Linked DNA regions of Drosophila melanogaster. The protein of the gene in region 2 interacts with the protein of the main gene of each other region in a pairwise test. Each region holds a gene or a part of one and is shown on either strand. Other genes may lie near its edges. The genes, in order: Cpr47Ef, deltaCOP, a and CG6972.

Region 1 (7,995 bases), on a different chromosome or scaffold from region 2:
GCAGAATCTCAACCAGCAACAGCAGCAGCAGCAGCAACAACAGCAGCAGCAGCAACAGCAGCAGAAGGAGCAGCAAAACGAGCAGCAGCAACAGGCCCTAATCACCCAACAACTGAGGGGCAGACCGAACAACCTGGTGGATCCATATGGCTATAATCAGTACGGCAGACGCTTCAAGAAGTCCCCAAAGAAATAACGACAAATTAATGTCATTTAAATGATTGATTAGTTTGAAGATGTAGTCGCAACTCAAAGGCATGAAATACATGCATCTGAAAAGTCAAGCAGTTTGTTTCAATTTCCGCAGCTTACGCGGCGCAAAATGATAAGCAAATATTTTATAATAATCATTTATTTCGATAGTTGCACACACACATTGTCAGAGTGGAAGAGGGAGGTAAGCTTATATAAATAAATTAATTGTTTTAGCGAAAGAACATTGAGGGCAGCCTGCACGGAAATGACGTTTCTTCGATTTGAGAGATTTGATTGGCGTTTTGGAATAAATTCTGATTTTAGTAGCTATAGCCCGTCTGAGGATTGAACTCTCCGTTTCCACGACCTCCGCCCGGCGCTCCCGGAGCAGGTGGAATGTACTGTGATCCTGTGCCGGGAACTCCTCCCGATCCTGGTCTGCCTGGCGAGCCGGGTGCTCCGCCACCAGCCGCTGGTGGAACATACTGATTGCCGGGCAATCCTGGTCCGCCTGGACGTCCACCGGCGCCTCCTAGATAAAAAATGGAAACAATCGCGATTAGAGTGGCATTAAATTTATGTAAACCCTCTTTGATTAGTTGTAATTATTTAAAGCAGTCTTTAAAATTATTATAATCTAGCGACTTCAAAGAGACCGCGTGCAAGCCGAAATGTTTTATGCATGAAAGATCGTTAGTCGATCGTGGGTAAAACAATAGACCAAGGCTTTGCCAAACAAGAATTGTCAAAATAAAAAAACTGAAATGTGTGGGAATAGCACTTGTCTAGTGTAGCTCTTCACATCATTTTCTCATGAAGATGAATGAGGCTAATTCAAGTTTTACAATTGCAATCACACAGATTGTAAAACCGGGTTTATAACTATAATGCTTCTTACCCGGTCCACCGGCACCTCCTCCATAACCTGGACCGCCTGGAGATCCTACATTAAAAAATGTAAATACCATCTATATGTTGTGACAAATTGGGAGAGTGACCTCTTCATCACAAAAACCAATGTTACTCACCGGGTCCACCGGGTGCTCCTCCAGCTCCACCGCGACCACCGCCGGCGCCAAAGCCACCACCACCTCCTAAAAAATAAATATTACTTTAATTATTATAATATTTATAACACAGTTTAACAAGTAGTCGGAAACTTGAAGAATTTCGTAAGTTTTGTGGAATGCACAGTGTACTGTTACTAAGTTACTAACCTTGGCCTCCGAATCCTCCTCCTCCGGGAGAGCCTGCGAAACACGAATGGTATGTTTTTAAAGCCACTAGGCAGATATTAAAATCGACTTACCAGGAGCTCCAGGAGCACCACCACGACCGGCGCCGCCTCCGTATCCGCCACCCCCACCTACAAGATGAAGATGTTTTACTTAAGACCTGCAACTGGAATATTGTTTTGCTAACTAACCTTGACCGCCAAATCCTCCTCCACCAGGCGATCCTATTAATTAATAATTCCTTATTTTCAGTAACAAACAATTTATGTTTTGTACTCACCTGGAGCTCCTGGGGCACCTCCACGACCACCACCTCCTCCGAATCCGCCACCACCTCCTACAAGATGAATGTATTATTCGAGGTGAATGTGCAGTAAGTTTTAAAATCCCTTACCTTGACCTCCGAATCCGCCACCACCTGGGGATCCTGGTGCTCCTGGCGCACCTGGTGCTCCACCACCACCGCGACCGCCGCCGCCTCCATAGCCGCCGCCAGCACCTCCCTGGCCACCATATCCGCCTCCGCCTGGTGATCCTGAAAATAAGCAATGTGTTATCTATTATATAAAGTGAATGAAATCATGAACTCACCGGGAGCGCCAGGAGCACCGCCGCGTCCGCCGCCACCTCCGAATCCTCCGCCTCCACCTGGAAAGTGTATATAGTTTTAACTTGAACCGCAAAGTCAGGCGGGATCACTTACCTTGACCTCCGAAACCTCCACCGCCAGGTGATCCTTTAGTTGAAGTAAGTTATTAGTTTTGAGTATCTATGGAGTAACACTTTTCGTTAACTTACCGGGAGCTCCTGGTGCTCCGCCACCGCCGCGTCCTCCGCCGCCGCCACCACCATAACCGCCGCCAGCACCTCCTTGACCACCAAATCCGCCGCCGCCAGGTGATCCTGAAATATATGAAAATAAATATAAATTCATGAAGTGAATTAAGACGGATTTTCTTTAGGAACAATAAATTTCATCTAGAAAAAGGACTTACCAGGACCTCCTGGGGAACCACCACGACCAGCTCCGCCACCAGCTCCTCCATAGCCTCCTCCACCTCCTAAAAAATAAATAGTATTTTAGATCCATGTGTAAGCCGTTGGAACATAACTTACCTTGACCTCCGAATCCGCCTCCACCTGGCGCACCTAAAGAAGCAAACGAATCGATAAAGTATTAAATTAATCTAATAGGGGTTAACATTTTTAAAAATTGTATAAATAAATCAGTCGTTACCTGGACCTCCTGGTGCTCCTCCACGACCACTGCCGCCTCCTAAAAATAATCAAAGTTAAAGTCAAAAAAGACTAAAAAAAGAAAAAGGGTCAAAATGTGACTTGAATTCGTATCTTACCTGATCCATATCCACCGCCACCTCCTGCTCCACCTCCGCCTCCACCGGATCCTCCTCCTGCGCCGCCGCCTCCAAATCCGGATCCGCCTCCATATCCCGAACCACCGCCTCCGCCGCCACCTGCTCCTGCAATCAAAAGTGAGCAATGAAATGGAATGTTAATCCATTGATTTATTTTGTAGAAACTTACCCTGTCCTCCAGGACCGCCACTGTATCCACCACCCGGCAGTATGGAGATGCCCTGGGCAGCCAGAGATTTGGCTATCGCTTCCGGAATGGGCGGTGGAGTGGGCAGGGCGTTGCCCGAGGGCACAAAGCCATTCTCATCCGCCGTGTACATGATCTCGACGAGTTCACCTTCGGGATTTGTGTAGGAGTATGAGCCCATCACGGATGGGATTTCATTCTCAGATCCCTTGTTCTTAACGGTGCCCTCCTCCTGGGCCTTTATACCATTTCCAGTCTCGTAGCTGAAACGGTAGTTGCCATCGCCGTCGTTCTCGTTGACAAATGAGAGGATCGGAATGGGAGGTCCAGAAGTTGGTGGCGCGCCACCTGACGGACTGGGGCGTGGAGCGGGTGCTCCGCCGCCTCCGCCGCCGCCGCCAGGTGCAATGGGTCTTCCGTTTGCGAAGCCACCAAGTCCGTTATTACCACCACCAAAGCCACCAGCACCGCCACCGCCTGGTCCTCCACCGAAGCCGCCAGCTGGTCCGCCACCGCCGCCTCCTCCATAACCTCCACCCGCTCCGCCGCCACCGAATCCTCCACCTCCGCCGAAGCCACCTCCTGGGCCCTGAAGCCCTGCTCCCGGACTGCCGCCCGCACTGGCCGCACTTGCAGGTGGGGGCAGGTATTTGTTATCCAGCTTGGCTGCTTGGGCAACCACCAGCGTCGTGATCACCAGAGCCTGAAAAAGATCGTTGCAGGTAGGGATTGCCCGGTAAGTTCACAAATTTATGCAAGCACATGGAAAGTTCATGCGAATCCAGCATCTTCCATCGCGATCCACGTTCTCAATTTGGCCTGAAGCGAATCTTTGGCGTGTTGACTTATTTGATTGCAAAATAAATGCCAGTGAAAAATCGCAGGGGTGGCTAATTGTTTAAAATTTAACTTCATTAACTGCGGCTAATTCATAAATCTGAAGATAACATGAAAAAAGGCTGCTAAATGTAATGAAATAGTCATTTAACGACCGCCATAAAAAGTGTTATTCGAATAAACTTTTGTTGCTTGAGCACAAGGACGTATTTAAACTTAAAATAATGTTAAGCGTCTGAAAATTATTATTTTCGAATTATTCGTATTAAGAAATACTTTTAAACGATTTTTAATGTCTTACTAACATTATGTCATTTTTTACAACTGTACTTTACTCATGATAGCATTTTGGTAATTATTTGTAATAAATGTGTATTTTAAGTTAAACAGCAATGGTTCGTTCCAAAAATAAACGATAAGCTTTTTCCAAACTTCAAATTACAAGAAGAACCTTGAATTGTTTCTGCTGTTAATTAAGCCCTGATACACATCTCGGCCAAGTGGGTATCATGACCCCGCCGCTGGGAACCTCCAAAGGGGTCAAGAGTGTGGCCAAATGTCGGCCATTTCATCAATGAAGCATTTGTCCATTGACAGAACGACGCAATCCGATCCGCTCACGTTTTCCATTGTTGCAACCGATCGTCGTCGCCCATTAAGGCTGCAAGTGCAGCGGGGACTCTTGACTATAGTATCAACATCGGGCTGGCTCATCATTGTCTCAGCCTGAGGCGAACTATGATATTTATGGACTTCTTGTTAGACAGAAGACGTCTGAAGATGCAGCAGCGTGTGAACCGAGAGTGCCACAGAGAATTGCTGGCTGGGAAGGTTGGCTAAGCGGAGCGGACCAGCGAGTGTCAAGTTGAAGTTTAAACCGTTTACGAATTCCATTGGGCCATAAACCTAACAGCTCCATCGATTGGCACGATGATGAGCTCACTTGTCGCCACAGCCGGGCAGTGTAATAATGTAATATTGTGGAAATTCTGACATTTGCCACACTGACTCATCCGGCGACTGTGGCACATGCAACCGAAACAAGCAACGCCTGCCCCTTGGGCCGGAATATCTTGAGGAGTCTGTGAGAGCCTCTTGGAGTTCGTGACCACCTAGCAGACATCTTCGACAGCGTTTCGCAACCGCAAATATAATTGCGGTTATTGCAAATGGGCTGCCAATTGGGTCGCCACTGCTTCCATTTCGATGATCTGCTTTGGAGGCGGGGCGGATCGGCCACGACCAAACCATCTTGGGCAACTTTGCGTGCCATCCACCATCTCCGATTGCAAATGGGCTGTTAATTTATGCGTTTCACGGGGATTACTCGATCTTTTCAAGACAATCGGATATGCTAAGTGCAATGGGGAAACCCTTGGCTGTGCTAAAATATCCAAGATGGGACACTCCAGTGGCCTATTGTTTAGGCATGTTCTTTTTCGCGGAATTTTATGAGTTGCCAAGTTGAGATTAAATAATTAACTAAATCAAAGTTTCCTGAAAAGTTATAAACTCTTGATGAATAAGAATATTCCTATGCCAATTTAATACAGATTTCTGATGAGACAATTCCCTAGACTAAAATAATTGAATGTCTTTATTCTAAGGTAAAATTCGTAACTTTACTTTCATTTAAATTAAATTGGGTAATGAAATCAATTTAATTAAATTTGAAGCATTAAGATCTTTGCATTCGAATGTAAAATGTAAAAATGTAATGAATGTAAAAAATCCGAAAAGAATAAAAACGGAAAATATGAATATAAATATGAATATTATATTCAAACATTGAAATATATTTTTGAATCTAGGTCATTATCTCAAGAAGGATACTTTTCGGGAAAAATTAGTAAAGCTCTACAATAATTTCTAACCACAACAGCATATGGAGTTTCAAAGGACTCTTCATTAGAACACTTGGATCTTTTGAATTTTCTAACCCAAAGTTACTTTCCTCTTTCACTGAACTTACCCACTTAAGAGCCATGACAGCAATCTTTTGATTGTTTCGATCGAGGATTAAGAAGAAGAATCCTTGGCGCACCCACAATTTATCCACTGCTTAATTTATCCACAAAGCTGGGTTAATCCACGTAAGTCCTTTGCCGCACCAGCGATGCAGTGCCTCCGCGTGTCGTGTTGTGGCTCCTCGAATGTCACGGTACTTGTGTGCCGATCGCAGCCCAAGTTCTCCAGCTTTTATACTTGGTTTGGCGCCAAATGCAATCAAATGGAATGGAATGAACGAAAACTGCAGCCGGAGCTTGCCGCTTGCAGCTTGGAGCTCGGTGCTGAGCGAGTGCTGAGATTTTGATACTTTATGGCATTTATTGCAATCGTGTGCAGCTGTGGTGGTGATGGTGGTGGTGCTAGCTGAGGCTCCGTCCCCAGCTGGGGCAGAAAACAATCGCACGAAAAAGGGAGGAGGAGGTGGTGGTGCCCCCGCATCCTCATCCGCAAGCCCATGCATTTTGACTATTGTCTCAACGGCGGCATCTCGTTTACTCAATGTACCTTGTCTTGTTAAACAAACGCTCTCAGCCACATCTCTCCTCGGTTAGTGGGTAAAAATTAGCAAGCAAGCAACTGCTGCTGGTGGTGCTCGTAAATTGGAATCCAATCGAAACGCTCAACGCTCGAGCGCATCATCATCATTCAGCTTCATCTCCATTGAATTGCACGTTTGGGAAACCGTTTTAATGCGCTCGGTGTCAAGAATCGCATATTGAGAAGTCTGCCCAGGCGGATGTCAATAAATCTGACACCCAACACAATCCGCCACATTTTCAGCTCTTTCACAGGGCGTCCAGGTCCAGTCTGTGACCTTTCACCTAATGATTGGGTAAAAACTGAAAACTGGATTCGAAGCGGTAATAAATACCACTAATATCGACACCCTCCGGCCGAAAGACTAAGCATTGCGCAAAACAAGTTGCTCCACTTGGTGGCAACATCCAAACCCCAACCCATCCACATCGATCTGCCCCAAGCCCCTTCTCCTTTTTTTTCGCTAACTTTTCAGAAAGGGCAGTTGCTTCTTTTCGCTGAATTTGGGAAAACAAACTCACTGCATGTCGCGGCGGCCAAGTTTAGCGTAAATGCTTGACATCTTTTGGCAACAAGGAGAATGCTCATTGACATTTGCCAGCCTGCATGCATAGCTATGATATACTACATTGGCTGTTTGGAAAGGCAAAAATCTAGCAGGTTGTCAGTGGGCCTTATTCTGCTTGGGATGGTCACAGCTGTGCGGACCAGAACGCCAGTCAAGTGGCAAACGGAATGTGCACGCACTGCCGCAAGTAATAGCGGAAAGATTGAAACAAAGAACTCCGCATGCATCTGGCCACGTTGCGTATGCGCAACATGCATCACTCATACGCCGAATGGCCTTGCCAAATTAACACACAAATGAGCAGAGCGGCCACGCCCACTCCCAGCCCATTGCACAAACATTGAAATTTAATAATAATCCGCACGCCAGAGGGTGGCAATTGGCAATTAAGATGACTCAACTCGGATGCAGATGCACTGCAGCCATAGAATGTTTGCCGCGCTTTGGGTTTTTCTACTCAATCGGTTCCTGAACGAGCGGATTATTTATAGCGTAATTATGATTACTCAATCGTAGAAATAAAATACAAAACGTTTATTCAAGCCTCGGGTGTTGGGGGGTAGACAATTATGAGATACGTTGGGTCCACAATGCTTACTCGCCAGTCATCATCTCCATGAATTCTGGAAATTAAATACAAAATAATATTAATTATTATTATTGTTGATAACTAAAATATGGTTTGTGTACTAATACAAGTGGAAATTGGACCAAAACCTCATAATACAAATTTGTTTCTTTTTAAACTGGTACACCAATCGGAACAATTATAAAAGGCGGAAAATATGGACGGATTTTGTTTTAGGAATAGTGAAATGCCCCTTAGAATCTGGGGCAAAGTGATCTGCTTGTTTCTGTGTAAAGATCTAAAGAACTATAAATAAAGCACCACAAGGGCGTCTCCCCTCGTTGGTGGGATGGTGGTGTTAGTGGGGAGGGGTAGGGGTTCTCCACCGCAACAAATTGATATAATTTGTGTGGAAAATACCATGGCAGCGCGCCAAGGAATCCAAGATCTTTATAGCCCGACTGACGGCGGCTAATTGGTCC
Region 2 (4,901 bases):
CTGGACATGCTGGATGAACTGGAGAGCGACTACCTACCCGGGACTCCAGTCCACAGGAGAGTGCAGGAGGTAAAGAAGAAGCTTGGCATTGGGCAGCAAGGTCAGACAACGCCCCACGAGAGCCCAATTCTCAAGTTGCTTACGCCAAAAACGGCTCCGCCTAAAGGCACTGCTCCGCCCAAAACATCTGCACCGCCAAAAGTTTCTACCCCCCCAAAATCCACTAAGCAGATTCCAAAACCTAGGAAGCAGAAGGATCTCTCACCCGTTGCGAGCGGCGGCAAGTGCGGCTTTCTGAAATCCCTGGAGGGACAAGTGAGCCGCGATAGGGCGGACAACGAGGCCTTCTTCTATCGGGAAAACTTCGCAAGAAATAAGGATCAGCTGGCCCAGCATCTTTACAAGATGTATAACGCCCAGGTGTTCAACAACGAGCTGGATGTGCCCATCACCTGGTCCAAATTGCTGCGCAACACTGCCGGCCGGTGCATGAACAAGCGCAAGTGGGTGATTCTTATAGAGACAACCAGATATCCTCCTTGAATTCGATAAATATATATTGTTTGCAGACTTAACCAGCGTAGCAGCGTGGTGGAACTGAGCGTCAAAGTGCTGACTACCGCGGACCGCCTGCGTTGCACCTTGATACACGAACTCTGCCATGCTGCGGCCTGGGTATTCAATGGCGAGGGTGGACACGGACGGGTGTGGAAGATGTGGGCACAAAGAGCCAACGACAAGTTCCCCGATCTCCCGCAGATCAAGGTCTGCCACAACTATAGCATTGAATTCAAGTATACCTACAAGTGCCTGAGCTGCGACAAAGCGTAAGTTCTCCCAAGTGATAAAAAGAATATTATTGTCATGCAGTTTTTACGCATCACAGGTCACATGCCCATTCCCGATCCCGCAAGGTGGAAGATTTGCGCTGCAGGATCTGCCGGGGACCCATCACCCTCTTCCTGAACAAAAAGGACAAGCAAGGAAACACCGTATCCACGCCGGCGGGCGAGGCGAAGGGATTTGCTAAGTTCGTTAAGGACAACTTCCAGAGACACAAGCGCGACAACATGACTGCCGCACAGGTGATGCGCATCCTGAGCGTGGAGTACGCCAAGCAGAAGGGTCAGCCGGCGGAGGAGACAGCGGCGTCGATCGCCAGCCGAGTGGAAACGCTGACACTGGACGAGTCGTCCAACTAGCTGGGTTCTCTTTTGAGTTTTGTTAAATTATGTGCTCCAAGCCCTAAACCATTTTTGGTATATCATAGACAATTTGAAAAACTTAACTGAGATCTCAGTTCGTGCGAAGTAGTAGAAGTAGTATATTTTGTTTAATGTATTATATATTTTCTTAACCAGAAACATGGTTTCCATTAAAATTAAACGGACATTTAAAAGCTAGTGCTGTAAAGCTCGATTTTGCATAGCCGGTGTCGGCCGGCGGTGTTGGTAAAGGCGATGCTTGGACTCATTACTTACAGTGAAAGAGTATGTCTGTTTATGTATGTTAATATATGCCTAATACAACCTATTAAATAATTGCTTTGCACAATCTTGAAATGTTAAATTCTACACTGGTGAAAAGTGAGTAGTGCGGTGTACTTGCTAAGGCTAGACACAACAATTTTCTAGATGGAGTAGCAAAAAAAAAAAAAAAAAATGGCAGGGTATCCACGGGCCTACCTCCTACCTTGGCCCAAGGCGTATTAACACTGTGTTTCCGCAGTGGCGCTGGTCACACTACCCGAACTCACACAAAGCCACGGTAAACATTTGTCGCAGAACCGAACACGTCAGCTACGGGGATTGATTGTTAAACAACGTTTCTATCGCCCCGCAAATCCGATCCGTAGCAGCAGTCCATCCTGCGCCGTCCGCATCCGATCCGCGAAGTATTTTCCAGGGCAAAAACGTCAAACGCAGCAGCAAAATGGTAAGAGCCCCGACCTACGCACGCACACACCTACACGTCGGCGATTTTGGGTCTCATCGGCGGGGGTTATTGCATTCCGGTATTATCACTAAACCTATCCGACTTGCAGGTATTAATTGCTGCGGCTGTCTGCACGAAGAATGGCAAAGGTAAGTGGCTTGCATGCACCGCAAGAAATAATCACTTTAGCTAACCCGTAACGTTTGTACACGCAGTGATTCTGTCACGTCAGTTCGTCGAGATGACGAAGGCACGCATCGAGGGACTGCTGGCTGCCTTTCCCAAGCTGATGACTGCTGGCAAGCAGCACACTTACGTGGAGACGGACTCCGTGCGCTACGTCTACCAGCCGATGGAGAAACTATATATGCTGCTCATCACCACTAAGGCCAGCAACATTCTGGAGGATCTGGAGACCCTGCGCCTCTTCTCGAAAGTGGTGAGTTGCACACGGATGTACTCAAGCCGCAGTGTTAATCAGGCCCATCGCTTGCAGATTCCCGAGTACAGCCACTCGCTCGACGAGAAGGAGATTGTGGAGAATGCCTTCAATCTGATCTTCGCATTTGACGAGATCGTGGCACTCGGCTACAGGGAGAGCGTCAACTTGGCCCAGATCAAGACCTTCGTGGAGATGGACTCACATGAGGAGAAGGTCTACCAGGCAGTGCGTCAGACGCAGGAGCGTGATGCGCGCCAGAAGATGCGCGAGAAGGCCAAGGAACTGCAGCGGCAGCGCATGGAGGCCAGCAAACGGGGTGGTCCCTCCCTGGGTGGCATTGGCAGCCGCAGCGGCGGCTTTAGCGCCGACGGAATTGGCAGTAGCGGCGTGAGCAGCAGTTCCGGTGCCTCCAGCGCCAACACCGGCATCACCTCCATCGATGTGGACACCAAATCCAAGGCGGCTGCGTAAGTTCTTTCTCTGCTCTATTAAATCTAGGCTCCTGACTCATTGCTCTGATTTCATCAGCAGTAAACCAGCTTCCCGCAATGCCCTCAAGCTAGGTGGCAAGTCCAAGGACGTCGATAGTTTCGTGGATCAGCTGAAGAACGAGGGCGAGAAGATTGCCAATCTGGCACCGGCGGCGCCCGCTGGAGGTTCCAGTGCTGCAGCTAGCGCCAGTGCAGCGGCCAAGGCAGCTATCGCGTCGGACATTCACAAAGAGAGGTGGGTTTCAGCTCGATTGTATAGTTAGTTATTAAATGCATAACATCTATTTTCAGCGTACATCTGAAGATTGAGGACAAGCTAGTAGTGCGTCTGGGACGCGATGGTGGCGTGCAGCAGTTCGAGAACTCGGGCCTCCTGACGTTGCGCATTACGGACGAGGCCTACGGACGCATTTTGCTGAAGCTGTCTCCCAACCACACACAGGGCCTGCAGTTGCAGACCCACCCCAACGTGGACAAGGAGCTGTTCAAGTCGCGCACTACCATCGGACTAAAGAACTTGGGCAAGCCGTTTCCCCTTAACACCGATGTGGGTGTGCTCAAGTGGCGCTTCGTCTCGCAGGACGAGTCGGCAGTCCCGCTGACCAGTAAGTTCATCCAAACCCAAACAACTTCTTCCCTCTCGCTCAGCCACGTGCTTGTGTTTCTCCCTTTTTCCCAGTTAACTGCTGGCCATCGGATAATGGAGAGGGTGGATGCGATGTTAACATTGAGTATGAACTGGAGGCGCAGCAGCTAGAGCTGCAGGACGTGGCCATTGTCATTCCCTTGCCGTAAGTGTAGTAATGGCGTAGATGTGCAGGCGATTACTTATTCCATTTCACCCTTAGAATGAATGTGCAGCCTTCGGTGGCGGAGTACGACGGCACCTACAACTACGATTCACGCAAGCATGTGCTCCAGTGGCACATTCCAATAATCGATGCCGCCAACAAGTCCGGTTCTATGGAGTTCAGCTGCAGTGCCTCCATTCCCGGTGACTTCTTCCCCTTGCAGGTGTCCTTCGTCTCGAAAACGCCGTATGCGGGCGTCGTGGCCCAGGATGTGGTGCAGGTGGACAGCGAGGCGGCGGTCAAGTATTCAAGCGAGTCCATTCTGTTCGTGGAAAAGTACGAGATCGTGTAGGCCGCGCCGCTGGCCACGCCCACCTAAGTAGTACATAAATATACATAATTTCCCGGGGTCATCCGATGCGATGCAATTAATTCAACTGCTGCAGCATGTTGAGAATTATTTTTCCATGTGCGAACTTTACATATTTATGGCGCAGACAGCTTCTCAGAGCGAGTAATTGATTCCAAAAAAAAAAAAAAAAACACCATCAAAGCCAATTAATTAAACTAATTTTGTGCACTCCGCTGCGCTGCATATAACGGTATCAAATAAATTAATTGCAATTAGTTGTAACTGGCGATTGCAGTGTTTTGTTTTGTGTGCTTCGTCGCACCCCTTCGATTTGAGTAATTTGTATGTAGATTGCTATGAATAAACCATATACAATATACACCAAAGTGGATTGTTTCTGGATTCTTAACTATAAGCGAAGGTTATCCCTTTTTTTTAAACTAAAAACTAAATATTAAATTTGAGTCACTTTTTTTTGCAAGTAGTACCCACTGTGCATGGATTCTTAACGCCCGGCTTATTGGTATTGCCGTCTTCTCGGCGAGCGGTCACACTGGTCATTGTTTTGGTTCTGTTCTTGCTTTGTTTTTTCACTGCGGAAATAACGACGTCGTCCATGGAGCAGCAACTGGAGAAAGTCCTAGCGGAAATGTAGGCACACTCGATCCGTCGATTCCAGATAGTACTCCAAATAAACCACAAATCCATAACGTATTTTCAGCGCCGCACGGCAGGACACAGTGGGAGCTCTGCTGGCCAATCGCCAGGGATTGTGTTTGGGCAGTGAGTATCGATGATTAGTCAGTGGCCGTGCCGTAATGCCACAATACATTTTTGCAGCCAAAGGAGACATTGATCCGAACGTGTCCGGCATCGGAATGGCCATTTCC
Region 3 (5,002 bases), on a different chromosome or scaffold from region 2:
AAGTAAAACTTACCGCGGCAACAGACGAATTTCAAATGCTCTTAATAACTACATATGAATGTATATATTATTACCTTTGCATTATTGTAAGGTAAGAAAGAAAACACTTTTGGTCAAGTAAGAACTATCTGTTAATTATTAGTATTTTTGATTTACTGGTAATGCATTGTTTTATAATACACTACTACCTACTACTACTTTCTGCGGATAAGTAGCAACGCGCGCTATTTACTCTTTCCTAGCAGCAAATGAAAGCCCAACGATGAGGTCGCTTATGTGGACAGGTGCAGTGGCCAGGTAAATTCAGGTGTGTGCGTGTGTTTGCCTCCGTTTTCATATGCCGTCCGTCTGTTTTTCGAATGCAGCCCATACCGATAGCCATACCAATACCCCTGCCAACTCCCATAACCAGGCCCAAACCCAGACCCAAAGCATATCCATAGCCCCCGACTTCTGTGCCTAAACGAACAGTTATGCAAATCGAGAAGAGGCGCACCTCCTCCCCCAACGTCGCCCCGCCCCCTGCTTTATCACTCGAGGGGTTTACTTTACTTTTTTGTTTCTCTGTGTATTTAGCGCCTAATACCCAAGTTTATGTCGCTTAATTATAGACCTTAAACAGCCGCCGCGAACAGTTGGCTTAACATGCTAATCGCCAGACTCGGGGGCTAACCCCTTTTCCCATCCTGACGGCGGTGGCGGGGTATCGAATGACCTTCTTCTGATCTGAGACGCCACTTGTTGATCGATAGTATGGAAACTCTAGTAGCTTGGGAGCGGAAATCCGCGATGCGAAAACGAAAACTTTTGTTAGCCCAATCTGGTAATCGATAGTTCGCTTCGATCCCACATCAAACGCCGGCCTTTTAGAGCCAAACTATTAAGCGGATTTGGCCAATTCGGTAGCGGACAGATTGGAACAGAATCGCTCGGAGATCTGCTTTTAATAAGGCTTAAATAGCTCTGAGCGAGCACGATTAATTCGCCATAAAAGTGAGGCTTTAATTGGCTGACGAGTGGGAAGCATTAACTAAGGAAAGTGTTTTTGCCCAAAGAGCAAAGAATATGAATAGACTTTGGTAGTTACACTGCTAGGAATCACGAATACTTATATGTATCTTTGATGCGCCTTATTTTGTTCATGTTTGATTTGGCAAATTACTATAGATTAAGTGATTGCATTTATATATGGAAAATATAATCTTAATTTATTGATTTCTAGTTCTATTTTCGTTTTGCTGCCGTATGTACATTGTAAAGTTTTTCTACTGACATTGAAAGATAAGAGTGAAAACACTTTGCCCTTTTGCACTAAATTTGAATGCCAAACGGACTGCATTCAGAAGTATCCACCCGAAACAATGGGTGGGCGTTTTTCAAGTGGGTGGTTTTCCAGTGGGTGGTGCGCCAGTGGGTAGTAGTTGTCCTTCACATGCCCGCTTACCTTTACCTATGACATTAAGCGAAGCAAATTGAGTGACTGACTCGATTAAGGCACTTGGTCAGTGCATTTACTTACTGTACTACTTGATTACTAAGTGCACTCATAATGCATGCAATTTAAATCATAATTGAAATAATTATCGTAGAACGAGAAATAATATTTAAAGAGAATGGTAATAACTAAGAAAATTAAAAAAAAGTTACTTTATCTGATGAAGGATGAAAAAAAGAAAAAAAAATTTAAGTTCTTACTTATTGTTTATAATTATAATCATTACAATTATATTAAACAATAAATTATAATAATAATTATTAATATATTATTAATTATATGTTAATTCTAATTATAAATAAGTTAAAAATAAAAATGCAATTAGTGAAAGAAAGAGGTATAACAAGAGCTTAAAATTTTACCTTTCTCTTTTCAGATTTTATGCTTTGGTGCTCTTCTCTTAAAATTTGTGTTTTGGAGAGACTCGTTCTCATCTCTCGTTGAGCGACGCGAGCGAGAGAGGCAAACTATTTAAGCCACATCGCAAGGCAACTCGTGTTCAATCTTTGTTTTCGTAGCGCGGCGGTCGCATCGGAGTCGAGAACTCGAAGTGAAGGTGCACGAAGAATTCGATAAATACAATTAAATAGTTTTGAATATATTGCGGTGATTTTTGGATTTGCATACCGGTTTTCGAGAAGCGAATTCGTAAAAACATGTTATGTTTAAATATCGAGAAGTGTCCCAAAGTGCGAAACAAACCGATTTAACAACAAATGCCCAAAGCGAATCACAAACGTGAGAGAAACAATAAATATATAAAGTGAATTATTATAGCATAAAATGAATTATTCTCTTATCAGTGTGTACATTATATTTTCATAAAGCACAAATAAAATTCAGTGAAGACATTAACAAATTCAAGCTAAAAGTTAAACTGAAAGCTAAACACTTTTTTTTGTTGAAATTGCAATTTTTTTTATTATAAATGTTTGTACTGATAATTGCGCTTACAACAAAAACGAATACACAAATCAAAGCAAGTGTCTGTGTGATTGTAAAGAAGAATGTGCTAAGCAAATAAGGCAAATAACAACCATATAACTGTAACTGAAATCCCACACTGAGAAAATAATCAGCGAAGAATAATATTTTGACATCCGTCTCTTGAAATATAAGATCAAACTTTAGGTTAATACTCATTAGAAATATATCAATAAGCTATGAAATATCATTTAAATAAAAATGTAGTGATCTTATTTTCATTTTTCTTCGTGCTCTCATAAGACAAGTTGATTGATTTGCGCAAAGGGAATTCGAGACACTTAAGATATTACCAAGTTCAGTGAGCAACCGCCCTAATGTCAAGGTCTTTCGCTTGGGGATCGGGTTTTAACCTAATGGACTTGACCCCCATTTTCTGTGGCTGTACGAAATCCGCAGCTTAAGTTACCAGCAAAACATATTTACTCAATTAGAGCTGACACCTATTATGTCTCAAGTTGCAACACGTGGTGCAATAAGTAAAAAATATTTTATCAATTCTGTTTAATTTTCCTAATTTTTGATTTCTCTCTAATCGTGTCTAGTAACCCATAAAACTAACGACAATTCGCATAAACAAACATAATAAAGGAAACGTTAGTAAAACAACAGAGTGTAAAAAAGGTTTAGCAACCGCGAAAACGACTTACGAATTTTCACAACAACTTGATGTTTTGTAACGGAGTTTCAAGAAACTAGTAAAAACTTTATTGTGAATTCTTCTGCTGCTTCTTCTTTGCAAGTGTGGCAAAAATTTTGTTGCTCTGCGGATTTATCGAGAACATCAACCACTCACGGTAAGTTGTGCTAATTATTGCTTAAACTTATTTAGTTGGCTATTTTTATTGCAATTTCTTGAGCATGATTCACAAGGGGAATTCAAATCAGAGGCTGCCCTTTAATGAATCAGCTACTTGGTTGGCATGGCCTACATTCAGTTCTCTAAAAATCACTTCTGATATATAAATACGCAGAACTAAATGCAGCCACTGATTTGAAATATCAAATATATTGCAGGTCTTCGTTCTGCATAAGCTTGATGTTCTGAAGTATATTGTATACATCGTTTTTTTGACGTGCTTTTCAAGTGTTAATAAGTTGAGCTGCTTCTATATCATACTCATATGTATGTGTGCAAATGATATATCTGTCAGTTGTCCATCATTGGCTAAGATCAAATCCGAATCTAAGCCATTTCGAGTTGAACAAACCCAATCGCAACGCCGCCGAAAGCGAGAGGCACGGGTACGTGAACTCCATATTCCGACCACTCTGATCTAATGCCGCTGAAATCGCACAAGGTTGTACTTGTGTACGAGCGTATGTAGATAGATGGATGAATAGTATGTGGTCCAATACATTCCGATTTCGATTTCGGATTCGGTTTCGCTTTCGAAGTCGGCTTAAACTTGGCACCTGTTGCGGTCAGAGCAACACTCGACTACACTGTCGCACAAAGTTCGCATAGAATTGAATCGAGCTTGAAAATGTTTTGTGGTCGCAAGTGCTGTCTGTTCTGCCTGTTCATGAGCGCCTGGGGCTTCTTGATGCTGAATCTGCTGGGTATCTTCTTCTACGTCCAGTCACTGATGCTCCTGGAGTCCCTGCCCTTGCCCCACCACTTCCCCAGTCAGGAGGCCTTCAAGGAGCAGGCGGACGAGGCCTACCAGGACGTGTCCACACGGTGCTTTGTAGCCGCCGTTTTCTATCTGGGATTCGTCTTCATTGCGATAGTGGCCATTCGTCGGGATAACAAGAGAAGGAAGCGACTCTACAAGCGGGGTCCCGGTCACTTGCGATTCCGTCGTTGATTTGTATGATTGGTTATTGAATAAACAATTTATTTTCATGGTTCCAATTGCATTTCACCCACTCAGCGACGTCCACCCACTTGTTGGTTCGAAAGATCGAAAGAACCAGTTTGTTGACCGCATTCTGCGATTAGCCTTAACTTCTTTATCGCCAAGCCACTTTTCGATTTCAAGTCTGGCTGACTGTTGTCCACTCCGCATTATGCATTCGTCTCGGACCAACCGATTTTTGACAGCGCACGTGACACCTTCACCGAGGTGTGTTCTCTTTTGGGCATCATAAATTTCCGTGAAATTCTCTTTCCGAAACATGCTAATGGGAATGGGGTGTGGGTTCCCAGTTCTGGCTATTCCCCCCCCTTTCACCTCTATACCGTAGTCTAGTCTACACCGGGGTTATGTATCTTGTTCTTATCGACCGAGCTTTTGTGTCTTACACGAAAACCGTTGTGTAAATTATCGTACACGATTTTCTAGTTGTACGCTTGTGTATCTGGCTTGTTATCACCACCAACCAAGTGCAGTCTGCTGAAAACTGGTTCACTGCATTTACTCATTTTTTCGGGAACTCGGGTTAACTGATTTGGAGATCTGGCAATACCTGGGAAATATTCTAAATTTCCTCCATGGATGGTCTTCTATATAATTGTGCCACCCGAGAGACCGTACAATTTCTTATGCAGATGTAGAATCGTATTTTTTACGAATCTAT
Region 4 (4,652 bases), on a different chromosome or scaffold from region 2:
TGCCACCAAGGACATTGTCATACTCAAGCTGATCCTGAAGCTGATTTGTGAGGCCTGGCTGGACTTTATCTACCAGAAGCGCATTCGCTTCAGTGTAAACGGAGCGGTTCGGTTGCTCAACGATTTCGACGATGTGCGTGAGTGGATTCTGGCCTGCAGTCTGTTGGATGAGGAGCAGCTGGATAAGCTGAGCAACCACGAGGTGCTGCGCATGTGCAAGGGTGTGGGCAAGATATTGCTTCGAAAGCCAGAGGATGTGATCTCCATCACCCAGTCGCCGAAATACGACAAAAAGGCGCGTAAGTTGTGTTTGAATATCTATGTGGATCCTATGTTTTTCTGGTCTCCTTGTAGAGGATGCCTCTGCCCAGGACACACAGCTGCCTTCGGAGATGTTCGTCTCCAATCAGAAACACTGGCTGCAACTGAGAGCCAGTGGAGGCAATGGATTTCCGTTCCTGAAACTTTGCTGCGGCGATATTGGCATGTAGATGACCTCGTCAGGGGGTACAAATGTTTATTGAGCCGCTAAAATGCTTTACAAAAGTGAGGGTCTAGAATATATTATAATATATATTAGAAAAAGGGTAACTATGGTTATGGTTATTCTCTTATGTGGAAATCTCCCTTTAGGCGGGCACCTTGCGACTAATGATCTTTATCAGCTCATCCACGCGCTCGCTCTTGCCGGCGAATTGTTTTGGATGCGGTCCAATCATTTGAATGATCATCGGTACGTCTTGCGAGACCTGAAAAATAGCAAAATATTCGAATATTTGACAGCTGTCAATTTGGGCTACCCCGAATATAGGTCACTACCTCGAGGAATCGAACGAGGGCCCTCAGGGTGCGGAAGATTTGGTCTTCGTTGGGACTGCTCTGGAAGAACTGAAGAATGGCCATGGCCAGCTCCACGGCGATATCGTCGAATACCTGCAGATATATATCTTGTATCTACGATATTTTCCAATACTTTGCATACCACATACCACAGTCTTCACTTCCTTAATAGCAATGTTGTACAGGATCATGCTGCCAATATTTTTCAGCTGCGGGCAATTGGAGAGGATGCAGTGGACGGCCACCTTGGTGGTCACTCGTATGTTGGAGATGGTCTGACCATTGTATTCCCACTCCGAAATGTACAACAGCCATTCGGAGGGACCCAGGTTCTCAAAGAGATTGCACATCTGAAACATATTGAATATATAGCAAACTTATATATTCATTCTCCCATTGCGGGACCTACAAACATGGCCCAGGCCTGCTGCTCCTCGGGCGTCTGCTTGTCAATGTCCTGGGCGTAGTTCATCAGTGTGTGATCCCTTCGATCCTGGTGCAGAATGATGATCACATCATCTTTGAGCGCCGCATAGGCCAGCGTGCGGATCAGGTGTATCCGTGTGTCCGGCGAGAAGGCCTGATTGTCACGCAGGACGCGCTGCACGAAGATCAGAAAGTTGTCGCCCAGCGCCCAGGAGCCATCGTCCTCGATCAGATACTGATGCAGCTCCTCCATGGCCACTTCCTCCTCCTTGTAGATCTTGCCATCGAGCAGTTTCACTAGGCTCTCTAGCTCAGTCTTTATCTGTGGGAAGTGGAAGTGGAAAGGATAAGATATATGATGCATTTAGCGATGATTCGGCATTAGATAATATAAGTCACAGATTTACTGCAATTTTCAAAAGTGCATCTAATTGTTTACAAACAAATCAGCCAGTTTGTAATTGTGTATATAAGAAAACATTTTTGTTGGTTTTTTTTTTGGTACTTGGATACAGCTTCCTAGTCTTTGGACTTACATCGATGTCTTTGAGGACCAGCGCCGGTTCGCGTGGTACTTCCTTCTCCTCCGTGGACTTGGAGCGCTCCTTGCCGTTCTGGGACTGCTGTTGTTGGGCTGCGGGCTCTGACATCTCTGGTCTATTAATAGCCGCATGAGGAAATTATAATAATAAAATAAATTGTATAGTCAAAATTAAATGAACATGCATTCGCATGGGACCACAACAAACTTTCGCTGCGCAAGAGCCATTAAATTGCAAAGGATTTTCACTTTTTATTCGATATTATTTTTTACGATCCGCCTGCGATAATGTTGTAATTTTCAGCACAAATTGCCAATCAGGCGTGCTGAAATGTTTACAATTTCGGCAGTAGAAATATGTGAGGAATTTGATGTTTCATATAAACAAAAAAGGCGGAAAAGCATTTAACTTAATTAACAGCAGAGAAGCGCTGGGAAATGAAAAGGAAAAAAAAGAAAAGCGGTTGCCGGCGACACCATTGGGTAGGGGAAAAGTTGTCAAACCGAAGTGTGACAGTAAAACTGAGGAAAACTCAAAATAGCCGTGGTATTTTTAGTTTTTTACTTTACGTAGACAAAAACAAGGTACAGAAGATTCTCAACTGGCAACACGAAATTGCATGCAATGTGATATAAACGACTTTTTTCCGGCCTCAACCGACAGAAATTGGTAATTATAATCAAATAAAATGTTGAGATATTCCCAATTAATATGCATAATTTATAGATTTCCAAATTACTCACATGCTATTTTAGTAGAAGTGACACAGAAATTCCTACACTTTCGACACCAAATCGTGGGAAAGTCGCGAAGAAATCACAATTTAAAAATCAACTAGGGCACAAATGGTATCAGTTGTTTATTCAAAATTCCGAAAATGAATATATGGTTATTTATTTTCCAGATCATGCAACTTTTGTAGAACTTTTCATTGAATTCCAGAGATTCGAGTAGCACGCGAACCGTTTTGGCAGAGAGTCGCCTCGAAATTGCCTCTGTTTGTTCGGAAAAGTCTAGTGGAAGTGTGAGGAAAAGTTTCGGAAAATGCACACTCAAGCGCGTAGGAGCGATCTGTGAGTGTGTTCTTTCGGATATATCCGATCGGATCGGGTCTTTATAAATAGATACAAACGCCTCAGTTCGCTCGCGAGCGAATTATGGCCAATGCAGCTGCACTGAACGAAATTAGTGACAATTGCGGGGGATTTTCGCCCACTTTAAGCCTGCCCAAGTTGCGTTTCAAATTGAATTTGCAGTGGTTTTTATTACACTCGGCAAGGGCAAGGACCATCCTTCACACGTCAATGCAATGTTAATGTGCGGGGGCGACCCGGCTGGGAAAGGTCGGGAAAAACACAAAAAGCCATTAAGTGGCAACCAAAATACATTCCAGGCCCAGCTGGTGGTCCTGTCGCCTTCTGAAAGCAACAAGTCTCACATTGCGTAGCCGAGATGTTGACCAAGGCCCAAGCTGCGGCCACTTTCATTTGGCTTTCGAGTGTTAAGCGCGTCGGTTGCTAAGTGGATCCTTATTAAAAAAAACACACTCCTGCAATGAGAACGTCCATGAGGATTTCCCTGAGGCTGCTTGCACTCCTGGCTTGTGCCATTTGCTCTCAGGCTTCGCTGGAAAGGGAGAACAACGAGGGCACCAATATGGCAAATGTGAGTTATCAATGGATTAACTATTTCATTAAGACCCAACAGAAAGTGGAAGTAAATTGTGAAATTCGTTAAATTAGTTAAGCGGAGTTATAATCTAAGTTGATAACGCGACGCATTGTTTAACGTTCATTTACATACCTAATTAAATAGTTGTTACCTGATTAGTTTTGATATAAATATAATTTATCGTCTTATTTGCAGCACAAGCTAAGTGGCGTTATACAATGGAAGTACGAGAAGCGACCGTTTTGCAATGCATTTACAGGTAATTTTAATACAATATATAATAATATCCATTACAATCCGGACGATTTACAGGCTGTGGACGAAAGCGTACGTATCCCTCGTATCCGCCATTCTCGCTATTCAAACGCAACGAAGTCGAAGAGAAACCCTATAACAATGAGTATTTATCCGAAGGTCTAAGTGATTTGATCGATATCAATGCCGAGCCAGCTGTGGAAAATGTTCAAAAGCAAATCATGTCGCAGGCCAAAATCTTCGAGGCCATCAAAGAAGCCAGCAAGGAAATCTTTCGGCAAAAGAACAAACAGAAAATGTTGCAAAATGAAAAGGAGATGCAGCAATTGGAGGAGCGCGAAAGCAAATAAATCGAAATAATCGGATAAATCGGAATTATCGGAATAGTCGGATTTCTGGAAAGCAAATTGACTGGACGGTTAGCACACTGCTTTTGTTATTGTACATACTATCTTTATCCATGACTCCTTGAATTGTGAAGAATTCCACAGCACTGGCATTGCATTCAATAAAAATTGTTGACCTCACTTTTTGTTGTTTTCTGGTCTATTGTATTTATTGGTAATACATCTGATTATAGAAAACGGTTTAGAAAGTTCATTATTTTTACCACACTGAATATACAATATGTTACCCTATGCTATCTCTTGGTGACATTAGTAATTGGTAATCGCAGTTGGTTCTCGTATCATTGCATACTTATGATAACGATAAGGACAATCATAAAAGGTATTTCAACAGCAAACAGATGGATTGCACCTAGGCAACTTTAGCAAATAAATTAACAAAACACACATATTCATTTCAACTTTATAATTTACATAATACCTATAAATAGAGAGCGAGTTAAAAGTAACATTATTATAACAAGAAACTATGTTAATTCATAAAAGTTATTTTCGAATTTAAATATTAATT

Evidence for each region.
Region 1: the proteins of deltaCOP (region 2) and Cpr47Ef interact in a two-hybrid assay, tested with the Drosophila melanogaster proteins (one large-scale study listed by BioGRID).
Region 3: the proteins of deltaCOP (region 2) and a interact in a two-hybrid assay, tested with the Drosophila melanogaster proteins (one large-scale study listed by BioGRID).
Region 4: the proteins of deltaCOP (region 2) and CG6972 interact in a two-hybrid assay, tested with the Drosophila melanogaster proteins (one large-scale study listed by BioGRID).

What each region holds. Positions count from the first base shown.
Region 1 is NT_033778.4:11,266,575-11,274,569, forward strand, and holds Cpr47Ef (cuticular protein 47Ef), read right to left. Parts: upstream 6,002-7,995; 5' UTR 5,818-6,001; coding exon 5,803-5,817; intron 3,697-5,802; coding exon 2,976-3,696; intron 2,912-2,975; coding exon 2,786-2,911; intron 2,707-2,785; coding exon 2,668-2,706; intron 2,580-2,667; coding exon 2,547-2,579; intron 2,492-2,546; coding exon 2,426-2,491; intron 2,334-2,425; coding exon 2,229-2,333; intron 2,167-2,228; coding exon 2,134-2,166; intron 2,079-2,133; coding exon 2,022-2,078; intron 1,966-2,021; coding exon 1,825-1,965; intron 1,768-1,824; coding exon 1,711-1,767; intron 1,655-1,710; coding exon 1,622-1,654; intron 1,562-1,621; coding exon 1,505-1,561; intron 1,446-1,504; coding exon 1,413-1,445; intron 1,290-1,412; coding exon 1,224-1,289; intron 1,139-1,223; coding exon 1,094-1,138; intron 728-1,093; coding exon 516-727; 3' UTR 341-515; downstream 1-340. Other genes in the region: Cpr47Ee (cuticular protein 47Ee), read left to right, coding at 1-196; TpnC47D (troponin C at 47D), read right to left, coding at 7,540-7,568.
Region 2 is NC_004354.4:1,858,629-1,863,529, reverse strand, and holds deltaCOP (coat protein (coatomer) delta), read left to right. Parts: upstream 1-1,739; 5' UTR 1,740-1,932; coding exon 1,933-1,935; intron 1,936-2,044; coding exon 2,045-2,084; intron 2,085-2,150; coding exon 2,151-2,374; intron 2,375-2,431; coding exon 2,432-2,844; intron 2,845-2,905; coding exon 2,906-3,103; intron 3,104-3,159; coding exon 3,160-3,473; intron 3,474-3,547; coding exon 3,548-3,659; intron 3,660-3,716; coding exon 3,717-4,011; 3' UTR 4,012-4,389; downstream 4,390-4,901. Other genes in the region: Gcna (germ cell nuclear acidic peptidase), read left to right, coding at 1-503, 570-827, 887-1,202; Lamtor5 (late endosomal/lysosomal adaptor, MAPK and MTOR activator 5), read left to right, coding at 4,628-4,662, 4,733-4,794, 4,852-4,901.
Region 3 is NT_033778.4:22,134,976-22,139,977, forward strand, and holds the start of a (arc), read left to right. Parts: upstream 1-1,992; 5' UTR 1,993-2,233; intron 2,234-2,457; exon of another isoform or gene 2,458-3,024; 5' UTR 3,025-3,276; intron 3,277-3,919; exon of another isoform or gene 3,920-3,966; coding exon of another isoform or gene 3,967-4,290; exon of another isoform or gene 4,291-4,320; intron 4,321-4,959; exon of another isoform or gene 4,960-5,002. Other genes in the region: CG11269 (uncharacterized protein), read left to right, coding at 3,967-4,290.
Region 4 is NT_033777.3:22,700,190-22,704,841, reverse strand, and holds CG6972 (uncharacterized protein), read right to left. Parts: upstream 2,836-4,652; 5' UTR 2,552-2,835; intron 1,924-2,551; 5' UTR 1,917-1,923; coding exon 1,803-1,916; intron 1,589-1,802; coding exon 1,250-1,588; intron 1,191-1,249; coding exon 990-1,190; intron 934-989; coding exon 817-933; intron 750-816; coding exon 630-749; 3' UTR 504-629; downstream 1-503. Other genes in the region: CG13842 (uncharacterized protein), read left to right, coding at 1-299, 355-491; CCAP (crustacean cardioactive peptide), read left to right, coding at 3,363-3,473, 3,675-3,738, 3,792-4,084.